Linked DNA regions of Daphnia pulex. The protein of the gene in region 1 interacts with the protein of each later gene in a biochemical or structural test. Links are inferred from orthologs where the notes say so. Each region holds a gene or a part of one and is shown on either strand. Other genes may lie near its edges.

The links.
Region 2: the proteins of ADP-ribosylation factor-like protein 2 (region 1) and retinal rod rhodopsin-sensitive cGMP 3',5'-cyclic phosphodiesterase subunit delta-like are reported together in a solved structure, tested with the Homo sapiens proteins (2 studies listed by BioGRID and IntAct, with this or other methods). The link is inferred for Daphnia pulex from reciprocal best matches to the Homo sapiens genes ARL2 and PDE6D.
Region 3: the proteins of ADP-ribosylation factor-like protein 2 (region 1) and tubulin-specific chaperone D-like form a complex in vitro, tested with the Homo sapiens proteins (2 studies listed by BioGRID and IntAct). The link is inferred for Daphnia pulex from reciprocal best matches to the Homo sapiens genes ARL2 and TBCD.

The regions. Positions count from the first base shown.
Region 1 is NC_060021.1:207,122-210,154, forward strand, and holds ADP-ribosylation factor-like protein 2, read right to left. Parts: upstream 1,703-3,033; 5' UTR 1,606-1,702; coding exon 1,541-1,605; intron 1,459-1,540; coding exon 1,348-1,458; intron 1,273-1,347; coding exon 1,110-1,272; intron 1,051-1,109; coding exon 970-1,050; intron 907-969; coding exon 772-906; 3' UTR 630-771; downstream 1-629. Other genes in the region: protein pellino-like, read left to right, coding at 1-2, 72-397, 480-606; lactosylceramide 4-alpha-galactosyltransferase-like, read right to left, coding at 1,906-2,254, 2,320-2,957, 3,027-3,033. UniProt on the Homo sapiens protein: Small GTP-binding protein which cycles between an inactive GDP-bound and an active GTP-bound form, and the rate of cycling is regulated by guanine nucleotide exchange factors (GEF) and GTPase-activating proteins (GAP).
Region 2 is NC_060018.1:861,815-865,298, reverse strand, and holds retinal rod rhodopsin-sensitive cGMP 3',5'-cyclic phosphodiesterase subunit delta-like, read right to left. Parts: upstream 2,047-3,484; 5' UTR 1,745-2,046; coding exon 1,704-1,744; intron 1,636-1,703; coding exon 1,573-1,635; intron 1,498-1,572; coding exon 1,362-1,497; intron 1,274-1,361; coding exon 1,152-1,273; intron 1,075-1,151; coding exon 993-1,074; 3' UTR 648-992; downstream 1-647. Other genes in the region: uncharacterized protein LOC124188871, read right to left, coding at 2,420-3,484. UniProt on the Homo sapiens protein: Promotes the release of prenylated target proteins from cellular membranes. Modulates the activity of prenylated or palmitoylated Ras family members by regulating their subcellular location.
Region 3 is NC_060024.1:14,104,827-14,108,985, reverse strand, and holds the start of tubulin-specific chaperone D-like, read right to left. Parts: upstream 2,952-4,159; 5' UTR 2,635-2,951; coding exon 2,254-2,634; intron 2,197-2,253; coding exon 2,030-2,196; intron 1,968-2,029; coding exon 1,829-1,967; intron 1,767-1,828; coding exon 1,574-1,766; intron 1,507-1,573; coding exon 1,293-1,506; intron 1,225-1,292; coding exon 1,161-1,224; intron 1,010-1,160; coding exon 925-1,009; intron 852-924; coding exon 482-851; intron 422-481; coding exon 316-421; intron 248-315; coding exon 61-247; intron 1-60. Other genes in the region: 39S ribosomal protein L51, mitochondrial-like, read left to right, coding at 3,196-3,621, 3,690-3,836; serine/threonine-protein kinase 11-interacting protein-like, read right to left, coding at 4,057-4,128.

The DNA.
Region 1 (3,033 bases):
CGGTACTATTTGTTTATCAATAAATCATTAATAGTTTATTTGATGTGTTTGCATTGGTTTGTGTATTGCAGACGGCTAGACATTTGGAAAAGATGGTTGACGAGTTGAATGCAGGCAAACCGCAGTGTCCAGTCGGTTTGAACACGCTGGTGTTGCCGAGAAAGTCGACTTTACCGCCGCCCGATCAGACTCCGTACGTTTATTTGAAATGTGGGCACGTTCAGGGCCAGCATCACTGGGGGAAAGAAGGAGAAGATCGAACATGCCCCATCTGCCTTAAAGTTGGCCCTGTCTCACAACTCAGCATGGGTCTCGAACCAGCCTTTTGGGTGGATCGCGAACCACCCACGTACGCGTTCAATCCCTGCGGTCATATGGCTTCCGAGAAAACAGTCAAGTATGCAATCGCTTTTTAATTTGCACACTTGGCCTTTTTTTTATTGATCCGACTCTTATATTATTATCAAACACAATTATAGATACTGGGGAGCTATTCCTATTCCTCACGGTACTAACGGATTCATTGGCAAATGCCCGTTTTGCGCCACACCGCTGGAGGATCGAGGCTTCGCAAAATTAATATTCCAGGACCATTTAGATAGTTAATTAAAATAATTGAATGAATGCCGTTTTGTTTTGTTGCCTTTTTTTTCCACGGTCTGTCTAATTCTTTTCATCGATTGTACATTATAAAATTAAGACGGCCACAATTTCTTATAACCTCCCAGCCCGTACTGACTTTTAGAGAGAACGAGAGAGAGAGAATACACATTACTCTAATGTAAATATCCTGGCTCCGATATCTTCGACTAGCCAATCGATTCCTGACAACAAATTGTCTCCGTTCATGGCGCTGCAGCCGACGATACGCCAGTGATGAGTTTCAATGCTGTCGAGATTCAGTGCCTGTTGTCATTACAACGTGATTTAGTTTAACTGTAAGTGAATGGATGGCAGTGGACAATATACCTCTTTGATTTCATCAGCTGTCATTGACCCTGGCAAATCTTGCTTGTTGGCAAAAACAAGCAATGTTGCACCTGCCAATCTCTTTTAAAAGGTAGGAATGTAAAAATGTGTTTTAAAAATACCAATAAGTAAAGAACTACCTCTTCTTGTAGTAAGGAATGTAATTCTTTTGTGCAATCTTCCATCCTCCTTCTGTCAATGCTGTCGACAACCCAAACTAGGCCATCTGTGCTTTCAAAGTAGTTTCGCCAGTAGGACCTCAACGATTTTTGCCCTCCAACGTCCCATATATTGAGCTGGTAACTTTTAAAAATAGAAGCATGTTGTTAAAAGACATCAGTCTAAAAAGTAAGAATAATGAATTAGGTCAATCGGCACTTTTGGTGTTCCAGGGTCTTGATGTTGAATCCGAGAGTTGGTGAAATCGTATGGACATCTTCTCCATTGAATTTTTTTAATATGGTGGTTTTGCCAGCATTGTCAAGGCCCCTGAAAGACAGTTATAAATTGTACAAGTTAGCAATTTTTTAAGAGTTATTTTGAATAGCAAACGATTGAAGAAAAAACTGACAGCATAAGTAGACGCATTTCTTTCTCTTTCTGTTTCAATTTTTTTAGTATGGTCAATAAGACCATTCTGGTTACTGAGGCAAGTAGCAATTTATTTGATTTCACTTGGTTTGACTTGTTTGTTGTTGACAGTTTGTTTGCAAGGGGCAGGCCTTGAACAAATAAGGCCCGCCCTTTTTTCAAGTTTAAACAGCGCCATCTGTTGGTTAAAAATTGTATCGCGTCGTCTCGACAATCGACCGGAAGAAAATATCAAAATACAGGACAGGTCACTGTTTGACGTTTAAGAAAGTTGATTGAAAATTCCGTCCAAAACTAGGTGTATATTTGATAAGAGATGTAGTAAATTTACAAGTCATTTATTTTTTAAAACTCTTCGGGTGCGACTTCGAAGATGAGAGGACAAGAAGAACGCGCCATCTGCGCGTAATACTGATTGGAATTCTTGTTGACTAACCAATGAGAGCTCATGCTGTTCCAAACGTGAGCTCCGACAACAGACTCGTCCCAGTTCACCTTATCCACTGGTTTGTCGCCACGTTTGTAAAAGTAATCTCTCCATCGATGATAGTGCACTGGGTAAAATGACTTTGGCGCTAAAATCCGGAACCCTTGGCATCGCTCCGGAGTCATCCAGCTAATGTAGTAAACTTGACACCAATTTTGTAGGATCCGCGTTACCAAATCGGGCCCATTATGAGACCAAACATACCACCTGTATTATCAAGAATTCTATTGAAAATGAGATCACTAAAGGTTTTTTATTAAATTATTTAGTACTTGTAATCAGCTGCAAATGTTTCGACAGCAGTTCGAATGATTGGATGTTGATGGTCGACGTGAATGACACTCGATCCGAGTTTGTCACCATCTTCGGCCACCACAAAATTCCGGTACGGAGTCACGGGTCGGAGTTGGATCACGTCCAAATCGAAATAGTATCCACCGTACTTGGACAGGGTCAGAAATCGTAGAGCATCGCTGAGATGGGCCACGGCGTACCATCCACGGTTCCACTCTGTGCAGAAATACCAACGCTCCAGCGGAGTGGCGACCATGTAGTCGCCCAAATTGATGCTGGTGATTTGCACGTTGGGGTAGTTGAGCCTCAGCGTTTTCATCGTCACTGAATTTAGATCTAAATGCTTGCCCGTCATGAGGAGGTGGACGGTCAAGTTGGGATTGTGAAAGGCCAGCGATTCGACCACGCAAGCCTGGCGGAAGTTGAGAAAAGTGGCGCCGGAAGTTTCGTGAAAAAACGCCTTGTCCTGAGTAACATTTAAATGTTTGTGTTCTTGCAAGGCAGGATAAGGACACGGCCATAGGCAATCTGGTCGTCCGCACATGTCGGAACCACTGGTGTTGCCCGCCAGACAACATCTGGATCGTCCAGCTCTCACGTTCACTCGAGGATCCATCTTGCGTGTGATTCAAATGCGTTAATTTACAGAAATAATTGAAGATATAAAAACACGTTTGATAATTACCTGGTGC
Region 2 (3,484 bases), on another chromosome or scaffold:
CGGCGGCCAACATGCTAGAACTCACTCTCTCAAAGAGCGACACGAGAGCTTATTCTATTCAAGTCAGCAACATGCGCCTAACTCCTCCTCCTTATGGTTTCCAAGTGATGTCGCCTTTCATCTCTTCTTTGCGCCTCTCACACGGACACACACTTATGCATCTTTCCCCTGATACCCCCCACCCCATCTACTATAATACACATCCTCTCCGCACTCTAATAATTCAAATATCGCCCCATAAAAAGGGGGGGGGGGGCTGGCTGACCCACGACCGAGTACTGTGCTCTACACCGCTGGACATGTAATTTACTAGTCAACCATAGCTCGAGGAACACAGACAAGTAGGAGAGCTCGAGGAAATCTAATTATCGACTAGAAAGAGATGGGAGAGAGAGAGAGAGGCTGGGGGTAGGGATATAATTGCATTTTGGATGGCTATCCATGTCAAGTAGAGGCAGATGCAGAAGACGTGGGCAACGCAGTAGATCACTATAATCCGCTCAATAACGACATCCACTTTGCCTGATGTACCCGCACAACACAACGCCGACTCACCCATTGAAACGGGACCGTCATGTTTCGATAGCATGGGTGCATCTACCTAAAATCAGAAATCCCGATCGCGAAGGATAAACATGAGCTCCCAGTTTTATACACCGATTGAATCGTCTTTTTATTATGTAGTACCGACAGTCAACGGGTAAAATGTGGAGCGCAGGAATAACAGCGGCAGCAGCAAATGAGATATTGACCGAGAAGTATGGCAGGTGATCGCGAACAAATAGCGTGTGTAGCTTTGTGTGTGAGCGGAATTGTAGCGATGTCGCACCGAATCGAAATCGGTGCGTTAGGAGATGGCACACGACGTGTAGACTGTGTAAAAAAGCGCTTCAAAATGCCGGTTTTCGCTTATTTCCATCGCCATAAGGACGTAACAGGAGAACGTGAAATGAAGAGACGACAAAATAATGGGAAAAAACGCAGAGATCGGGTCAGACGTAGAACAGCCTCACTTTTGATGTTGAGACTAGAAGGGTGTCATCGTAGAATTTGGTTTCGATAGTCACATTTCCACTGCACAAAACAAAAAAATAATTTTGGCTTTAATTTCTCTATCAAATTGATTTAAGAATGCATAAATTTTGTTTTACTTTAAAATTTGTGCAGGCATCATTTGTGATTCTGGTGCAGCCTCAATTATTGATTGCCAGGTGTTTGTGGAGTTTGGGATGACGAATCCAAAATCAAATGTCCACTCTTCTAATGCTCTTCCCTATAGTTCAACACAACACATCCAGTTTCAGATTTCTCTGATTCTCACATGTTTTTATAACACGAAATCAAAAATGGGAAACTCCTACCTTGAAAAGGACTTTCTGTTCCAGTCGAAAGTTTTCGAGGGGTTCTATTGAGGAAAAGTTAATTTCCCTTGAAACGGCTCTGCAATTCAAAATACTTTTGGGTACTCGGGCTTCATGTTCAACATCAGGCTGGGACCTGAAACAAAGTGTCAAAAAGCATATTATAGATTATTTCTTTCTAATTTTAAAATTGATATATAGTAGAACTCACAAATCATCAGAGTTTTGCCACAGCAGTTTCCCGGTGTCTACTTCTCGTAGACTCATCCAGTTCCTGCAAGATGAGATAAATTAAATTAATTTCCAAAATATGAAAACAACCAAGAGACAAAACCAACTTACACTCTGAATCCCGACAGTATGTCTTCGGCTTTGGAAGGCATTACGTTCGATTCCAGATCTTCTCAATCGCAGGCCAGTCGACACGAGGACGACGGCGACCACCTCAACGTATCCCTTATTCAATATACAATTTTGCAGCACTTGGACTGCAGGCCCGATTCGGACGAGTTCGCTTTCAAAAGTGTATATGCCGACCAACCGCACACACACAGATGGGGTAAAACTTTCTGTATAAGGATAATTGATTGGTATCTTGGATCAATACAAAGTCGTATTATATATATAGAGCCGCCACCGGGTACTCGGCCAAGTAACAACTCTCTTGATGTCAACAAAAAACCAATAGACGAGAGTATAAGAAGAAATTCCATTAGACGTTGCCACATGGTTGTATTGCGATACCAAAATGCAAAGTCATGACTCATGAAAGAAAGTTTTAGAAATTGAACGAGTTTTATTGCTGGATTGGAAATAAACCGAATGTAAACCAAAATATAATTGGACCCATTGTTTCTCATCTTATACGAAAAGAAATATGGGATACGCGAAAAAATAAAACTGAACACAGAACCAAATAGGGGTGTGGCAGATTGACACTTCTGTTGCACAAAAATTGATATGGAATTATCAAAAAAAAAAAAAAAATACTTGTCACTTCTGTTGCAATAGATGATTTCTCTATTTGACAAAAGATTAAGCCAGCGGTTGCGGGAAATCTAATCTCTCTTGGATTGGGCACAGTTGCAATAAACAATTGGCCAGCGCGCAGATGCTTCTTCTTGGTACCAGAGCTTCTCGTCCGGATGATTTTCTTTGATGTGGTTTTCAATAAGATCGGCCCAGCAAGGTGGAATTTGCAAACGAACCTGTTTCCAACTCGCCGTCTGTCGACGATCATCCAGTTGTGAAGGAGGAGTTGCTTCTGCAATTGGTGTTTCTTTCGTAATTGGCTGTATCGGTAGGTCATCAACAGATTCAGCCCGCAGTTTCTTCTTAGAAGAGGATAGAACTTCGTTATCTTTTGAAGAAGTGAGCTGCTGAAGTGGTGTCCTTTTAGAGGTGATCGACCTTCGACAGTCTGGCAGTGGTTCAGTTGAGTATATTAGAGGTAAAGGTATACCAGCTAATCGTGAGCTTCTTCTACGTTCTTCCTGTGATGATCGACTTAGTGTTTTCTTGTTGGCAGAATGAATAGATGATTTCGATGATTCATCAAGTTTGGCATCCTGATAGATAACAGGAAATGATTCCGGGATAATAAATTCAATTTCCGCATGATCATCTGTTTTATATGTCGATTCGACAAAAATGACATCATTGTCCATATTGATGCTCGACTCAATCTCATCCATTAGCTCAACATCTGACAGACTTGCCTCGCATCCCATTAGGTTGCCTTCGATCGACTTCTTCAATTCAGTGTAACTTTCTTCATTATTTTCATTGACAGGCGATTTAGTTTTTTTATTTTCTGACGTGGAACTTTTCCTAGAAGATTTTCTAGATGAGGCAGGTGATGGGCCATCGGGCGAAGAGAATTTGGGAGTATCTTTTTCAGTATCAGGAGAAAGGTACAGGGCCAATGGACTCGATGAAAAATTTGCAGAGTTAGAAAGTGAATCAGTATCGACAAACAACTGTTTCCGTAAGTTACAGGAGCGAGCGGGGGATGTGGTCTCAACGACATTCCAAGATGAAAGCTGAGGTCGACGATGAGATCGTAGGGTTCGTATGACATCTCGACGCGCCTTTTTCTCGGTTGGAGTGATAAAAGGCGTAGG
Region 3 (4,159 bases), on another chromosome or scaffold:
TAAAGGTTCAAGAAAACATTGTAGGAATAATTCAGTAAGAAATGAACAGCGGTAACTGACCAAGTTCATCTGGCAGACGACGTTGATGGTCTTTGGCCACTTGACAAAGAGCGCTGATGACTTTGCCACTGGCCAAAATGCTTCCGTGCCGTAAATAGAGTTCAGGGTTTGTGCAACGAGGAAGGATCTGAGTAGAAAGAATCACTTTCATACTCTCCGGATCGAGGAACGTTATTTGATGCAAGGCCTGAACAAAAATTCTGATTAACAACTGCAGTTCAATTAGCAAAGTTCAATTGCACCACCACGCCATACCTGAGATGTTAGCTGTCGAATAACCGTGTCCCAATGGATGACTTTACGATCCACCAAATGCTGGATGAGATGCGGTCGGTACTCTTCGTATTGCGCCACGAAAAGACTGGAGAAAAAAGAGAATTGTTATCAGCATGAAATGAATTTGCAACAGAATGAAACTCACCTGAGTTGGAGATAGGCATTTTTACGTAAGCCAACAGCGAAATAATCGCAGGTGGTGAGGATGTCGATGCCGTGAGGGAAAGTGCCCTGTCGACCGACGTGTTCCTGGAAGGCAGAAGCGGCAGCCCGTCGGCAGTTGACCTCACGATCGAACACGGTGGTGATGACTAGGGCTTTAGCCAACTGATGGACGAATGGCTGGAGCAGAGAAGGGTCGTAGGATCGGGCAAGAGCCCAGCAGAGGTAACAAGCGGCATCACGTACAGCCGAGCCAACGGAAAAGTTACCGCGTAACTCATCGTACAGCATGGCCTGCTCCACAAAAGGCAAGACAGAAGACAATCGCTGGGGTAACAACAATCCACGACGGGCTAAAAAATGAAGAAGAGAGAGACATCTAGTTATGCGTTTAGATATACTTTTCAACATTTAAGACAACGATACCTAATTCAGCCAAAGCCAAACATCCTCCGTGCCAGGCCATATCCGACTCCCGGAGAGAAAAAAGTTCCATGATCGATTCAATTACCTGATTAATAATTAAATCGTTGTAATAATAATAGTATTGTTCAGTGTTTTCTATAGAGATACAAGAATTACTGAATGTAAGCCACACAACAACAAAGTCAACAATGAATAAGGTTGATATTATTACGTCTTCATATTAATATTAAGCTAACCTGGTCGGCAAAGTTCTTTGATAAGCGACTGGTCAGCCGACCAATGCCTTTTGCTGCAGAGTACCTGTAAAAAATAAGATTATCATGACAAAGGATTGCTTTAACAAATGAAAAGAGATTTAAATTCAGTACTGGACTTCACGGTTCTTGTCTCGGAGGGCTTGCAGGATCTCGTCAAGTACTTCTTCGATTTCTTCCGGCACGTCGTAATCGTCGTCATCTTCATCATTCACCGAAATAGCTGCTTTAGTCTCAACGGGTTGGCTCTGTTGCAGATTGGCAGCTAATGATCTGCTGCCCCGCTGGTATCTCCAAGAGGCAACGCGAGGTTTCAAAAATATCAAACCTGCCATTCAGAAATACATGAAACGTTTTAATTACTTGCAGCTGAATGAATCGAAGAAGGGGCTCACCTATTCGCTGCGTCAGCTTCACCAACGGTTTCTTAACTATAAGCAATTCTGACGGTTGAAATTTAATCGTCAGGATGGTACGCAGCACAGCATGTGCATGCTCCATCATTTGTTCTCTTTGCCCATGTTTGAATACGCCGGCCAACGTTGAAAGAACTCCTTTTTTGAACTGGGCACTATCTTTGGTAAGAACCTGTTGGAAATGAAAACAGTAAGCTTGACAGTTATTTTCAAGTTGAAAACAAAAGGGCACACCTCATGAGCCCAATTGATGAATCCCGGTAGATAGGAATCTTTGACATCAGGCCTTGTAAGATAGATTGCCGATACATAAAAGGCCATGTCCTGAGCTTTTGTTGTCCCAGCCAGGTATTTCTTACAGACATTCAGAATTCTGAAAGACATTTAACTCATCTTGATTCAAAAGACATCAATATTGTAAAAAATTGTTCTTACCTTTCCATGATTGGTTCTGAAGTGCTGGTGTCAAATCGCTGAAGGTGGAACGGGATTTTAACTACAATGCTGAGCCACAGAAGCAAGCCGTAATGAGTCTCCCATTTTAGTTGCACACCAGGGTCTTGGTTTTCCAAGTAATGTAGCAAAGGCTCCAGATCGGCAGTCTAGAAAGAATTTTGATTTAGACAATTAGATCACAGGGAAACTCTATAGTACATTACCTCGTGAGGAAGATGTCTTGCTACAACTTTGTAGCCTCTGACTTTCGATATAAAGTAGAGGCATCGGAAGGCCACATGTTTCACCTCATAATCCAGCCCTTCCTCGCGAATGATGTTGATGATTTTAGTGAGTAGTCCATCAAGGTGTGAATCGATCAAATGTGGTTGCTCTTGGTATTGATCTAGAATGAACGAAAACCTTTGCCAGTTTCTCTCCACTAAACGAATATCCGTTTGGTTTGTCTGATGTTGGGCTGACGTCCTCAGTTCGTCAATGAGTTTTTCAACCTCCGAGTGCTCAGTAAAAGATTCTTTTGAGCACCCAAGTCCAATGACATCGATTTCTTTTTCTGTGCACTCATCTGCAACTTCTAGAGTCATTTTGATTTCTCAAAAAAGTTGTCAAAGAAGAAGAGGGTATGAGTAAACAGCAACCCGAATGTCAACAAATGATTTCGGCAGTAATTTGTATTTATCAAAAGCAGGAATCTAAACTGTGAAAATCTCTGTGGAAATGAATAATTTAAAAAAAAACCGGTCGGTAGCCTATACCTTATAGCTTATATTGCCTTATACTTGTTAAATTTATTAAGCTTAGCTCTTACTAGCTGCTAGCAAGTTCCTTTAACACTTAACCAGAGGAGTCTATAGCTCTGGGGCTCTGGCATGGTGTATGGCTCTGACCCTGGCAGGCCGTTAACGTGTTAACGTTTTAATGATAGTGCGGCACATGTTCCGCAACGCTTATTGCGTCGTCTGCTCTGCATGTTTTCAACTAGTTGGTTTCTAAAGTCATTTTATTTAATTATATCCCGTGTATAAATAAGTTTAGCAAGTTACCGGTAAAAAAAAGAGAACTTTTAACGCTTTCAGCTTTTAACTATTCAATTAATTTATTTGTGAATATTTTTCTTTAGGTCAAAGTGTCAAACCCCATGAAAAATGACATCTCTGATAGGTTCCATGATCTCCACTCTTGGTGCAACTCTGAAATATCGCTCATTAGTTGGAACTGCTAATCAAGCTTCAAAAGTTGTAGCTTTGTTCAGTCCAGAATGGACCACAGTGCGATTTCGCTTCCACGCTGATAAAGTTGCCAAAGGACCAGTTCCCCGACGTTTTGGTTATGAAGACAAAATTTTCAAGGGTGGTCTTTTACCCAGAACAGCTTACCAGGACAAACGATTACCCATACCAGATTACAAGCCGAAAAACAGCTGGAATGAAAAACGAGCACTTTTTGGCCAGAATGACTACATCGATATCCTTGGCCCATCAAATGAAATCACTCAAAAGACCTTACACCCAACTCAATTGCTCTACAATGTTCCTCACTGGTTAAGAGGAGTAAAAGGAAACGAGTATCAGGTACTACTAAACTCCAGATCTGAAAGAAAATAGTATACCAGACCATTTTGTTTCAAACTTGATTTTAGGTCCTGTTGCGCAAGAGGAAATTTGTTCAAAAGGAAGGTTACCCTATCACCCATCCAACAAAGTGGGCCGAGCTGAATGTCAGAATCAAAAAGCTCTACAAATATTTGAATACCAAAACAAAGTCACCCTTCTGGAAACATGCTTAGTGAATTTGTGTTTTAAATAAGCAGTAATAATAAAAAAATACATGAATAATAGTTTTGTTATAAATTGCTTATTATCTGAATGCACATTGTGTAATGAATTAGAAGTTGAAAAGGCTCACGTTTGAAACAAAATAATTGCACTTCGCACAGAATTCGTGTACAGCAAAGTAACAATAAAGAAAAACAATAAGTCTAATGGAGAGGGGGATATTACATGATGTTATTCGTCGAGCTCGTTGATTTCCAGCTCAACGGAGAAGACGGCTTCCCAAGGATATCGTACAGCTTCAATCTATGTTCAAAACATTAGGAAAAACAAAAGG